Xenopus tropicalis: one gene and its partner. The main gene of each other region encodes a partner of the protein of the gene in region 2 in a complex. Links are inferred from orthologs where the notes say so. Each region holds a gene or a part of one and is shown on either strand. Other genes may lie near its edges.

The links.
Region 1: the proteins of rps6ka3 (region 2) and bmf are in contact, whole or in part, in a crystal structure (PDB 8R58), measured with the Homo sapiens proteins. The link is inferred for Xenopus tropicalis from reciprocal best matches to the Homo sapiens genes RPS6KA3 and BMF. Residues at the interface, in NP_004577.1 of Homo sapiens: Trp252, Phe259, Phe268, Leu281, Ala283, Lys284, Leu285, Gly286, Met287, Pro288, Leu299, Arg300, Phe303, Lys304, Arg305, Asn306, Asn309; in NP_001003940.1 of Homo sapiens: Glu8, Leu10, Glu11, Asp12, Asp13, Val14, Phe15, Gln16, Pro17.

Annotation. Positions count from the first base shown.
Region 1 is NC_030684.2:114,253,578-114,260,068, forward strand, and holds part of bmf (bcl-2-modifying factor), read right to left. Parts: intron 4,894-6,491; coding exon 4,755-4,893; coding exon of another isoform or gene 4,739-4,754; intron 4,330-4,738; coding exon 4,240-4,329; intron 1-4,239. UniProt on the Homo sapiens protein: May play a role in apoptosis. Isoform 1 seems to be the main initiator.
Region 2 is NC_030678.2:43,792,826-43,798,541, forward strand, and holds part of rps6ka3 (ribosomal protein S6 kinase alpha-3), read right to left. Parts: intron 5,014-5,716; coding exon 4,852-5,013; intron 4,416-4,851; coding exon 4,339-4,415; intron 4,143-4,338; coding exon 4,025-4,142; intron 3,484-4,024; coding exon 3,343-3,483; intron 2,605-3,342; coding exon 2,479-2,604; 3' UTR 1-2,478. UniProt on the Homo sapiens protein: Serine/threonine-protein kinase that acts downstream of ERK (MAPK1/ERK2 and MAPK3/ERK1) signaling and mediates mitogenic and stress-induced activation of the transcription factors CREB1, ETV1/ER81 and NR4A1/NUR77, regulates translation through RPS6 and EIF4B phosphorylation, and mediates cellular proliferation, survival, and differentiation by modulating mTOR signaling and repressing pro-apoptotic function of BAD and DAPK1.

The DNA of each region.
Region 1 (6,491 bases), on a different chromosome or scaffold from region 2:
GGGAGAGATGGTGCCTATAGTAGCAGTGGGATAATAGCCTCTGGGAAGGGACTGTGGGATAGCAGGTATAGTAGGGAGAGATGGCGCCTATAGTAGCAGTGGGATAATAGCCTCTGGGAAGGGACTGTGGCTGTGGGATAGCAGGTATAGTAGGGAGAGATGGTGCCTATAGTAGCAGTGGGGGGGGGGGTAATAGCCTCTGGGAAGGGACTGTGGCTGTGGGATAGCAGGTATAGTAGGGAGAGATGGTGCCTATAGTAGCAGTGGGATAATAGCCTCTGGGAAGGGACTGTGGGATAGCAGGTATAGTAGGGAGAGATGGTGCCAATAGTAGCAGTGGGGGGATAATAGCCTCTGGGAAGGGTCTGTGGCTGTGGGATAGCAGGTATAGTAGGGAGAGATGATGCCTATAGTAGCAGTGGGATAATAGCCTCTGGGAAGGGACTGTGGCTGTGGGATAGCAGGTATAGTAGGGAGAGATGGCGCCTATAGTAGCAGTGGGATAATAGCCTCTGGGAAGGGACTGAGGCTGTGGGATAACAGGTATAGTAGGGAGAGATGGTGATAACTCTGTCCAAAAGCAAGTTACCAAATTGTGCCTTATCAGGAACAGGAAGTAACTTGCCCATAATAAGAAGTTAGGCTGCAGAACTGTATGTACTGTGATGAGCTCCATTGTATTCCTGTGTAATGATATCATCTCATAGGTCCTAGCCAATGGGTGGGCCAGTCAAATAATTAGAGTTTGGCCCTGTAGTAAAAGCAGAAATACACATCGCCTCACAAAGAAATGTGATTTTTAATAAGGCAATTGTATTGGAAAGTTGCCCTGAATTTAAGATTCTGTGTTGGTAATGCAACCATCAGCTACATACACTAGTAAGCAGCACTCTCCCCCCAGGGGCCCAAGTTATTAGACCACCATATGCCTGGGTCCCCTGAGTGGTGGACCCTGTCAACTATGCAGAGTTTGGCACAAATATTAAAAAAAAAAAAAAAAAAAAAAAGCCTAATTAAATAGCGCTCCAAGTCATGGCCTCAACCATATGCCCTGACCCCTTTGTGGAACATTAATCAGACTACTGGCTTCCTTGGGCCCCACTAGGTTTGGGATACTGTTAAATCCTTTTTCAAGGATTTGGTCAAACTGCAACTGTTCATTTGACTTCACCAAAGTCATGTTCAAGACAACTGAATATTACATTTTTTTTTACAGATTTGTTTACAGATAATGCCATTTTTTGTTTAAAAATCTGAATAAGCAAATTATGGTTTAACCGAATCTTTTGTGGATCATTTGTTTACGGCACAAATCCAAAATCTACAGATTTGTTGCATCTCATTCATTTTTATGCAACTTCACATTTTTAAATGACAAGCTGTTTTTCAATGTAAAATTGTATCCATCTTGTATTACAAAAACCAATTCACACATGAATTCATACACATGGAAATGTAATTATTTTCATGGTAGACAGTGGAACCAGAATGCAGTTACTTCCAACACTCACAGTTACTTCTAATGGGGTCCACGGACCAATGCAACCCACAATAAAAACACCAGGTGCTGATAGTACAACCAGTTGGTCCAAATCAAAATCACACACATACAAATAGGTCAGTTTACATGAGCTCTAATTTTTACAAAAAAAAGCAATGGTTTCTGGCGGTTTCTTAGCTGAAAGGTCTCCTTTTTACTTCCTGTTCTGCAACAACAACCCCTGTGCTGATTCCAATGACTTGCTAGTGCAGGGCTATGAGAAAGATTTATGCAAGTGGATCTTCCCTATGACTGGCGATACTTGAAGAACTGTATCAGTCTGCAACTTTCATTTCAACATCTTGTTCTGTCTGTATTCCAAAACAGGTAGTTCCACATTGGTGCACATATGCCCTGGACCACATGCAACACACATACATACTGGTCCTATAGAAACTGGCAGGATCCTTGTGGTCATAAGCTGTCAACTAGCCGTGGATTATAAAGGGTGGTTAAAAGTTCATGAGTCTGCTGTCAGTTGTTATGGGAGCCCAGCGGCTAAGAACTCACAAGCCACACCCACTGCACCTTGCCAACCTCAGTCTGCTCCACCCTGTGCTTCAGAGACAACTCTATCTGGGGCCAGGGAAAAAGGAGGGAGTATGGCTGGGCGAGTGTGGTGTCAGTTTGCTTTCACCATCTCTGTGTTTTCATTTATTTTTCTTTTATTTGGCCACGTTCTGTCTTCCTCCCCCCTCTCTGCTCCCTGACACAAAGTCACTGGATTAAAATAAACCGAGAGAAAGGAGTCAGATTTCTGTTAAACCTGTTCTACCAGTGCTGCTCCTTGACATCAGCTAAAACTGAGGAAAAAAAAAAGAAAGTACGAAGTATGATGGAGTAACAGTACGGTTTATAGCTGGCGCTCATCAACGATTTATTGATTAAAGTGTAGTAGGGACTTGGAACAGCACAACTTTGATAATATGTGGTAATAGCTGTGTGGAAGACATGAATGGCAGCAAGTGGTGTAACTGTCAGTGAACCAACTTATACCATGAGTGAGGACTTATTTTTCCTCACAGAAAAGAATCTGGCCTTTATTGCTGGATCTTCTTCTGTCCTAAGTTTCTTGGCCATTGAGTCAAGCGTATGTGTTTACCTGCCCTAAAACTGGTCTCTTTTTCTCTAGTCACCAACTGCTCCTAATTGCAACTGGCTGTTTGTAGCCGAAGGCTGCCAAACCAATCATCTGGGAATGTCCTGCTGATCCATGACTGACAAAAGATTGGTCTGTCAACATTTTTCCAGCAACAGTTAATTTGGAAGTTGCTGGCAACAGAGCTCACAAAGCATATATCCACTAACACCCTTGTGCCTGGGTCCATAACTATAAATGTTGCCTTGTCACCCAAATATAGGTGTCTAAGGGAAAGACTACACCCACAAGCTGGAGCGATTATATGCATTTATTCATGAGTCTATGATTTGTTTTAGATGTAAGTATGAGTGTTTTTCTATATCAATACACCTTTTGCCTTTTATTCAGTGGCATAACAGCGTTACACCAGGCCCCCTGCAGAAAATATCTTTAAAGGACCCAGCACGCACCTACCCAGCTATCCCTCTACCACTCCCGCTAAGTAGGTAAGAAGCGCCTGGGGAAGGGAAACTTCTTAGACCTATAGAGGAAGTAGACCCCATAGTCCAGGCCCCCCTGCAACCGTGGGATGGCTTCCTTTATAGTTCTGCCACTGCGTTCGTTGCATAATTAACGGCACTCATTAAAACATTTATCTGAACTTTCAAACACAATATATGAAACATACTTGCGCACATTTATCCACAGAAAATCCACCACGTGGATGTTTCAGGCAGTCTTTATAACTTTCCCTGTGTCTACTCCATTTAACAAAGTGCTCATGGGATTTCCATCTAATCAAACTAAGCTCTGACCACAATTTCTCAAAAAACCTTTAACGTTAAGGGCCACGGCTCAAGAGAGATTACACACCCACGGTAATTCTAGGCTACCATGGGCAACTAATCTCCCCAAAATGCCTTCCCACCAGCAAGAAAGTGAATCGCTGTTGTGAAGGCTTGTGCAGCGCTTTGTTTTCCAAGGTTGCCCAAAGTTTCCTTCAGGAGGAAACTTTGTGTGACTTTGGAAAATGATGTGACGTGTATGCCTTCCCACCGGCGATTCACTTTGTTGCTGATGGATAGGCACTTCGGGGAGATTAATCCCCTGTGGTAGCAAAGATTTAACTGCAGGAGACTAATCTCCCTTTTGGGCCATCACCCTAAAGGGGTAGTATACCCCCTTGTTCAACATGTTTGGTCCTTGCAAGGTAGATAATTAGGGGTAATTAGTGGTAATCTAATTATCTAGCTGGCAAGAGCCAAACACAGGAGTAGCTTCAGTTTCCCTGTTTGCCCTATTAAGCTCAAGTAATAACAAAAACTATTTTTTTATTATTAAAACAATGGGCAGAGTATGTTCAGCATAAACCCAATTCATTGAACTCATGTTGAAGGGGATATACCGTGTTAAATACAAGCAAAGTAAAACAAATATTTTAAATTCTTACTTTACATTAAACATATTTTATTAATCCCACTTATTTACATGCTCATAGTAATCTGTATATTTAAGATATTGATATTATTAGATCACAGATTCAGGATTCCATTTCACCCTAAACACCCTAGTCAAGAATACAAAGCAGACGAGTTACACAGATTCTGCCCATACATACCTTCCCTTCCAAAGGCAAAAATTATCCAGCATGGTTGGGGGTATAGATCTGTGCCCATGGAAGTACCATGTTCCTGCCTGTGAAATACCACTTCAAAAAAGAAAATGATTTAAAATTTAAATCAATTCTCTTTGCCAAAAAACAATGGCCTGAGGAAAAAAAATGTGTTCTCTTTATAAGATAAAAAAGCATAGTAGATTCTAATCTATTTTCACAACAAACTGTAAAATCTTCCTATGTAGATAGATATGACATTTGAGGTAGATGAAAAAGCCTAAAAATGCTAAATTCCTTAGCCCCCATTTTGCTGGATGCTCCTTTTTGGTTCTTAGAATGCAAGACTGATAATTAGTCTTTTGTGTGTTTACACCATTATTTTACAGGTAGAATCCTAATGTTGTCCTTAGAAAGGAGTTGCCTGTGGTTAAACAATGATCCTGACTTATAAATTTCTCTTAACCCCTGACTCCTAGATCATATAGAAAAAGTAATGAATTACTCTCTGCAGATGAAACCTGTGAAACTGGTCTCCAATACACTGCAGTTTGCGGGCGATCCGATGCTCTGCGCTCTGTTCTTGCCTCCTGTTGTCAACCTCTTCTCCAAAACGGGCCGGAGAATTCTGAGGGAGATATAATAGGTATCCTGCATGTCCTGGAACACAAAGACAGAGACCCCTCAGTTCTGAAGGGAAACCACTGATCTGTTCAGTGTACAATTTAAGTTATAATGAATGCTTTACATGTGGTAAGAGTATCACACAGCATCAGCCCTACTGAGCCTAGGGTTTGCCCTCAGTCTGCCACTTCTCACCTACTTTCAGCTGCCAGCTCTCCTGGTCCATTCACAGCTAATGATACCTTGTGTATGGCAGGACTGCTGCTTACACCTGCGCATTAGATACCCACACACACAGTAACATGCATACAAGATAGTACCCAGAAATAGCAGATTCTCTGTTTCAGTCATGGCAGCATAACTTCTTTAGGAGGCCTAGATTATTGATTCTTCCAAATCCCCTCCCATACCCTTATCCCAGCCAGTGGCTTGGTTTAGCAGCACACAGAAAGGAAGCCAAAATCCGCTCTGTGTTTCTGCACCCGTGCCGATGCAGCACCTCTCAGTGCAGACACAGGAGGGAGCAGAAGCCAGCAGATCGGCTGATGTCCCGTCTGGTAATAGCCTTAATGGAGACAAAAATCCTGAGGAGCCAAGTTAAGTGCCTATAGCTAGAATGTTTCAGAGGAAAGTGGAAACAGCACATTTGATTCTCCTTCCTTGTACAAACCCAGTAAGAAACTGTTTGCCACTTTTGTGTTTATGCACAAATTGGCAGTGAAAAATCCTGGAAGCCAAAATGCAATAATGATGATAAGGGCACGCATCCAGTTTTCCTAATTAGAAGCACATTATTTTCCATTTTTAGTTTACATCCACACGATCGTTGTCCTCTTCAAGGTCTGTATTTTCAGAGATCTTTTTATTTAATAACAGAATATCAGTGAATTAATTTAAGGAGCTGAATAACAAACAGACTTGCACAGACTGTAGGACACCACCATTCTTTTTCCTGGCTGAGCAATGGTAATGCTAAAACAGGCATGTAAGTATAGGGTGCCAGGAGCCATTTATAAGGATAACCATGTTTCTTACAAATGATAGTGTAAAGAGTGAGCTATTAGTACATCAGGCCTATTAAGTATTTCCTATCCTCTGCTCCCCCAATAATAAAGATTTTAGGAGTGTTTATTAAAAAGCCACAGGTGGCTCTGCTTTTACAACAAATCCAATTGTGCGGATAGGATTATACCTCTGCATGAGTCCTCCACTAACTCTGCTTGCAATACTACCATCATCCTTTAATTCTTTATTCCCCTTGATTGTGCCACAGATGTGCAAAACTATAGCAAAACCGGTAATTTAAACATCTCTGTAACACTATAATTGTATTCAGTATCCTTCCTCTCTCCCACTTCTTGTTCCTCTTCTGATCTCCCCTTTCTTCTGCCTACTCCTCTCTTGTTTACATTTTTAAAAATAATTTCTTTTTTCTCTGTAATAACAAAACAGTAGTTTGTACTTGATGGTAACTAAGGTGCATGTATCCATATTGGTGGATAAAAAAAAATCATAATCCTTGACCTTGATTATATTTAGGGGCAGATCTATCAGAATGTGAGTCTAGAGCTTAATATATAAAAACGTACCCACGTTCTATTCATTCCTATGGAATTTTTACAAGCATATTTATC
Region 2 (5,716 bases):
ATAGAAAGAATGATTGTACATATAAGTGTAGAAAAATATTCTCTATATTTATTTAAAAAAAATGTCCCTCCCACCAGAGATAACTGCAAAATAATTACATCCCTTTGTGTACAACTTCCCTTTAGCTTGAGAATTACATGATAAACGTAGCATACATATTTTTCCCTAATCTTACCAGGAAACATATTAATAAAAAAAAACAGTATCCCCTTCTGAAATGATCAAGTCATGCAATATTCTAAGTAGCTAATTGGTGAGGTGCAAGAGATCCTTCTTGGTGCTGGCACTTCCGTTCAACACTCATACGCCATTGGGAGACAGGAGTACCTTTAGTCATAAACTATTAAGTGCTGGTAAAGGTTCAAAAAATCTGAGTGGGCTTAGTATTCAGCTTGTATAAAGGAGGGAGAGGAGCAGCACAAATCAAGGTGAAATGGCTTATTCAGGTTTATGAAGGGAAGCTGTGTAACTGCAAAGGGAACCCCCGTGGAGTGGGAGGCTTCACCCTCCTAATAAAGGCACCAGCTTTCTACACAATGTTCATGATGTCAGTGGCTTGTGCTTATCTGTCCTAGAATGTAAAATTTCAAAACAATTTTTTTAAACAGGAGATAAAGCTGAAAAAAATGGCAGAATTGCTAAGCGCTGGTATGAGCAATTTCAGAATTCATTCACAACATTGGTACTGGGCTACTGGTTGTCAGAGGGTTAAGTGACTGATGCAGGAAGTGCCTCCGGAGAGGCAGTTTTTTTACGTTTGCTGTAGACTTGCCAGCTTAGGAGGAGCGAGAACTGCACAGAGATGCATCTTGCCCCATTCACTTAACCCTTTGCAAACGTGATGAGGACAACACACACATTTGTTCTCCTAACCTTTCATGGTAGATTCACTTTCAGCAATAGAAACCACCTGAAATCCATAACTCTTAAAAGGGGGCATCTTGAATTATTTATTACCTCTTTAAAAGGAAGCTCTTAGTGAGAAATTCATTTCATTTACCCCCTGTGGTTTGTAAGGGAAGAAAAAAAAAAAAGCAATACCTCCACCATTAAGCTAATGACACAAGGGTCATTTTTTCCACCAGTGTACTTCAGCCAACAGAGACACGCCAGTAGCCAGTAAGCCTGTGCCCCAAATTCACATTAGAGCATTTTCAGGCAGATAACTGCTTGTACTAGCAGTGTCATAGGACTTCCATTAAAGTCATCAGAAAACAGCACAAACGGGTCAAGTGTTTATTGGCCACATAAAACCCACCAGCAGAGAAACTGCCTTGTGTGCCATTAGCCATAGAACTCAAAAGATCCACAAAAGGCCTGCTTGTCTTATAAACAGTTCATCTCATAGTCAATATCAAACCTTGCAAGATTTTGGCAAAGTCCTTCTTCTGAGAACAAGTAATTATAATAGTACAAGTGCTGACATTTTCCCTACAGCCATCAGGCACTAACAAACAGGTTGTTTTTTATGGTTGTGCCTTAATGCGTGAAGCAGAATACAGTGGCCTGCTCATGCCAGGACAGCTTTAAAGCTTGCACCCGTTTAGGGAGCTAAAGTGCTCTGAAACCCTTAAAAAGCACAGCTGATTTAAAAGTGGATTGCTGAACCAGATTGATGAGGTTGTACATCGTTTCAATGCAAAAAAATAAAAACCAAAGAAAAGCAAAGTGGGAAATTGGAAGGTTACTGATCTACAATCCCGAAAAAAGACAATGAACAAAGTCAGAGATACACCTAGTACTGCTTGCTGGAGGCATAATGCTTGAACTTATTGCAGTTTGAAAGCTATTACGGCGGTCATCCCACAGTAACAGTTCTTGTTGCTCATCTAGGTTGTGATACATTCATGAGAAATTCCACAGTTGTATTTTACAGAGAAGTCCACACAATCATTCCATGGCTATATCTTATTCTGTATTAAGACAAGGCAAAGATGATCTAAAAAGAAGAATAAAAAACACAAAATGTGGGGAAGGGTAGATTGGCAAGACGTTGAATCTATCCAGCAATGCCAGAAGCAACGGCAGAAGGCTGAGTGGCATGTTTTATCCATCGCTTTAAAGAACAAAGAGCTGAAAGTATGCAAGTGCTCAAATAAAAAGTGAACCTAGAACCCGTTATTTTGGAGGACTACGAATACTTATATAAAAATAATGCTGTTCACCGTTGAGATATTTTTGTGTTTTGTATCATTTTCAGTGTATTCTTCAGTTTGAGAGGTGAAGAGTCTATTGGATTCACCCAAGGACAGTTCCATTGTACAGATGACAAAGTCCTGGCATGGTTGGATGGGTTTTTCCATCACTTAACTACTGAGAACAGACAGAAGCAGCAGCATTGATTATGAGAGCCGGCAGAGACAGTGAGCATTTGCTTGCCGGAGTGTCTTTAGGATATGTGCTATCACTGTTGGCTTTAATATTTTTTTTGTGCTGTGAATCTTCAGCTCCAGGCTGCTCTTACAGATGACTTGACTTTCACAGGGCAGTGGAGGTGATCTTCTTTATACCTCTCCTCTGAGCCAGAGTTGAACGACCAACGGGTTCCAGAACGGGAGACAATGGATTAAGGTTCAAAGCAGAGTAAGTTGCTGCCATGGCTCCCTGCATTAAACAACACAAAGGTGTGAGGGCAAGTTAAGAAATGTAATTTTTGCACACTGCCTTCCTAGATTAAACAAATTCCGAATGCCCCTGTGCTCCAAAACTGTTCGGCATTACTGTATTCATAAGGGGCTGGGGCAGTGCAGCTTCTGTGCTCTTTCACTTCTTCCCTGGTCCCTGTAATTTACCCTGAAAACATTTACTATTTTGCTGTACTTTTTATTCCAAAAGGGGTAGCCATTTATTTTAGTGTTGGCATAATACAGAATGTAATGCTTTATAAATACACAATTCTGTATCCCCAAAATGTTGAAATGCGGCGAAATAAAAATTACATTCTGCTAAATACTATTTTATGATTTTCTTTATATGGTTCATATTGCCAGATACTGTCCATGTGTATATAATGGATTCATTCTATGCACTTGGACAGCTGCCCTGGGATTAATAGAAAGTATCCACAAGCAAGTTCAAGTTTTGCAAGTGCAAAGTTAAAATAGCAGTATTCATTAATGATATAAACAAATATATTATGCCAATATATTAGGCACCCCTCCCAGTGATTAGAATCTCCTGCCTAAAACCCCAGGCCAGTGCCCTGGTTTGCTAAAAACGGAACTGGCCCTTGGTACTTCTATAAAAGCTCATCACTGCCATTTTCTTCCGCTTCTTAGAAACTAAGGTTTGGCACCCCACCTTTCCTTAGGCTGGTCTAGAAGAATAAATACACTACATTACCTTTACTAGGTGTGGAGCATCTTGTCTGTTTAGCTGAAACTGAGGCAGCTGGTCACAGTGTACTATCCAGGGGTGCTTGAGTACTTGGGCTGCAGTTAACCTTTGATGTGGATCCACATGAAGCATCTTTGAAACTAGGTCCTATGGTAGTGCATAAAAATATATTTAGCAGCCTTTCTAAACAGTTATTAAACAAAATGAGCATCTTTAGAATTGATCATGAGATAGGATATGAAGCTCGCTTTATATGAAGCCACTGCCCTCTCAGGGAACCCAGAGTGGACAAAACACCAACACAACACAACAGAGCTTGGCACAATATACTGATCTGTAAATAGTGTAAAAACACTAAAATGCAGCTGTCCCTATTATACCTATTTATCAGGACTATCCCACTATAAAGCAGAAATAATTCTGTCTCCTCATACTATTAATATTATTTGAGTGAATGGCACTTCAAATGCAATTACCCCACTTTAAAAGATGGAAGCCAGTATCCAAACAGCACCAGAAGTCACTGCGCACCAGCCAAATAAGCACCTTATTGTTATGAGTGGCAACAATCTTAATGCTGACTCAGTGGGACAAAGCAAGTCTGGGAGATTGCTGTATAATGATGCAACAAACTGCAGAAAAGCAGCAGATAAGGAATACTGAGTAACTGATCTGCACACAAACTGACCTTGGCAATATCTGAAACAGAATTCCAATAGCCACCACTTAGAGAGAACTTTCCACTTCCTATTCTTGCTAGGATTTCTTCTGGTGTATCATCTGGCCCATTTGCAAAAGGAGTGTATCTGAAATATGAGAAAAATATACAGTATTACAAATAGCAGTAACCACACATTATATTTTATTTTTAATGGGTTCAAGAGCAGGTAACTGAACTGGGCAGAGCCTGCACTCATTGATCAGTATAACCTAGTGTTAAGTCTATTATGTATATTTCTGTATATGCCCCTGATGAAAGGTTTAAGCATCATGTTAACTTACCCTGTCAGCATAGTATAAAGTAGTACACCCAGACTCCATATGTCGCATGCTGCATCATAGCCTTGGCGCTTTAATACCTGAAAAAATTAGAGAAGAATATAAAATTAAGCCTAAGTATTTTAAAGTATTTATTCACAGTTCAACAATCAAATTTCATGGATGAGGTATGTAGCATTGGCTACAAGAAGCTATTAGTGCTTGTAAATGACTTGTCCTGTTTATGGCATGCTCATGGTATGTTTAGTGACAGAATTTCTGATAAATGTGAAAGAAGTATTTCACATCACTTTGTGCCTGGAAGGATTTCTGTTTAATGCAGGCAAGATGCTTGACAGTGAGAATATCGTGTACATTTTCCACCCTGTTGTCAAATACAGACTTTACTGACAAAATGGTTACAGTTTACGCCTTTTTTCTTAATGTCTGGGTGGCATATGTTAATAGGGGATACTACAGAGGAACTTTTTACTAGTCATATTAACTGTGAGCAAATCAGAGGAATAGATGAATTACCTCAGGTGCCACAAAATTTGCAGTATAGCATGGAGTCATAAGCAGGCCATTTTCTGCCCTGAGTTGCTTTGCAAAGCCAAAGTCACAAATTCTAATAGACTCAGGGTTCCCAGACTCATCCACGTAAAGAATATTGCTTGGCTTGAGATCCCTGTGGACGACCTAAAATATATGGACATGAAAAGACATGTAAAGAACATGTAATACATTAATTCAAATTAAATTGCGCCCTAGGTGTTTTAGCAACCCTATCAAATTTAATAACTTAGCTTACAAAAATGTTTTTTTGTTCTAGCTTAGTCTTATGGTCCCCATACATGGGCCGATTGTCCAAGGGACCGATATCAGCAGCTTATCGGCTCGTGTAGGGGGAGAAACGAGGGGGCCTGCCCGACCGATATCTGGCCTGAAATTGGGCAGATATCAATAAAAGATTCAGTCGGATCGGGGACCACATCACAACTTGTTGTGAAATGTCAGCATTCTAGACTATGGCAAAAGGGCCATGTTGATCACTGATCGAGTAGTGTAGATCAAAACAATGGGAAGTTGCCTTTAGAACTGTTACCTGAAAGGGTAGTGAAAAGTGCAGCTGCTAAACTAAACTAAAAATGCATAGCTAGTCCAATGCAGAAACACAGCCCAAGTGCTCACAAAAGTATTGGTACTATTATGAATATGCAGTAACCCTACAAGTCTGCAATCTGAACATCATACAGAAAGGTTAACTGGAGAGGGGCTGTACACAATAAAGACATTATTTTCTTACCCTAATATCAGCATATTTAGTATAAGTTAATGCAGCATGCAGGGCAGGTCTAGATTGGGATTTATAAAATGCCCTGGTATTTCAAATACACAGAGG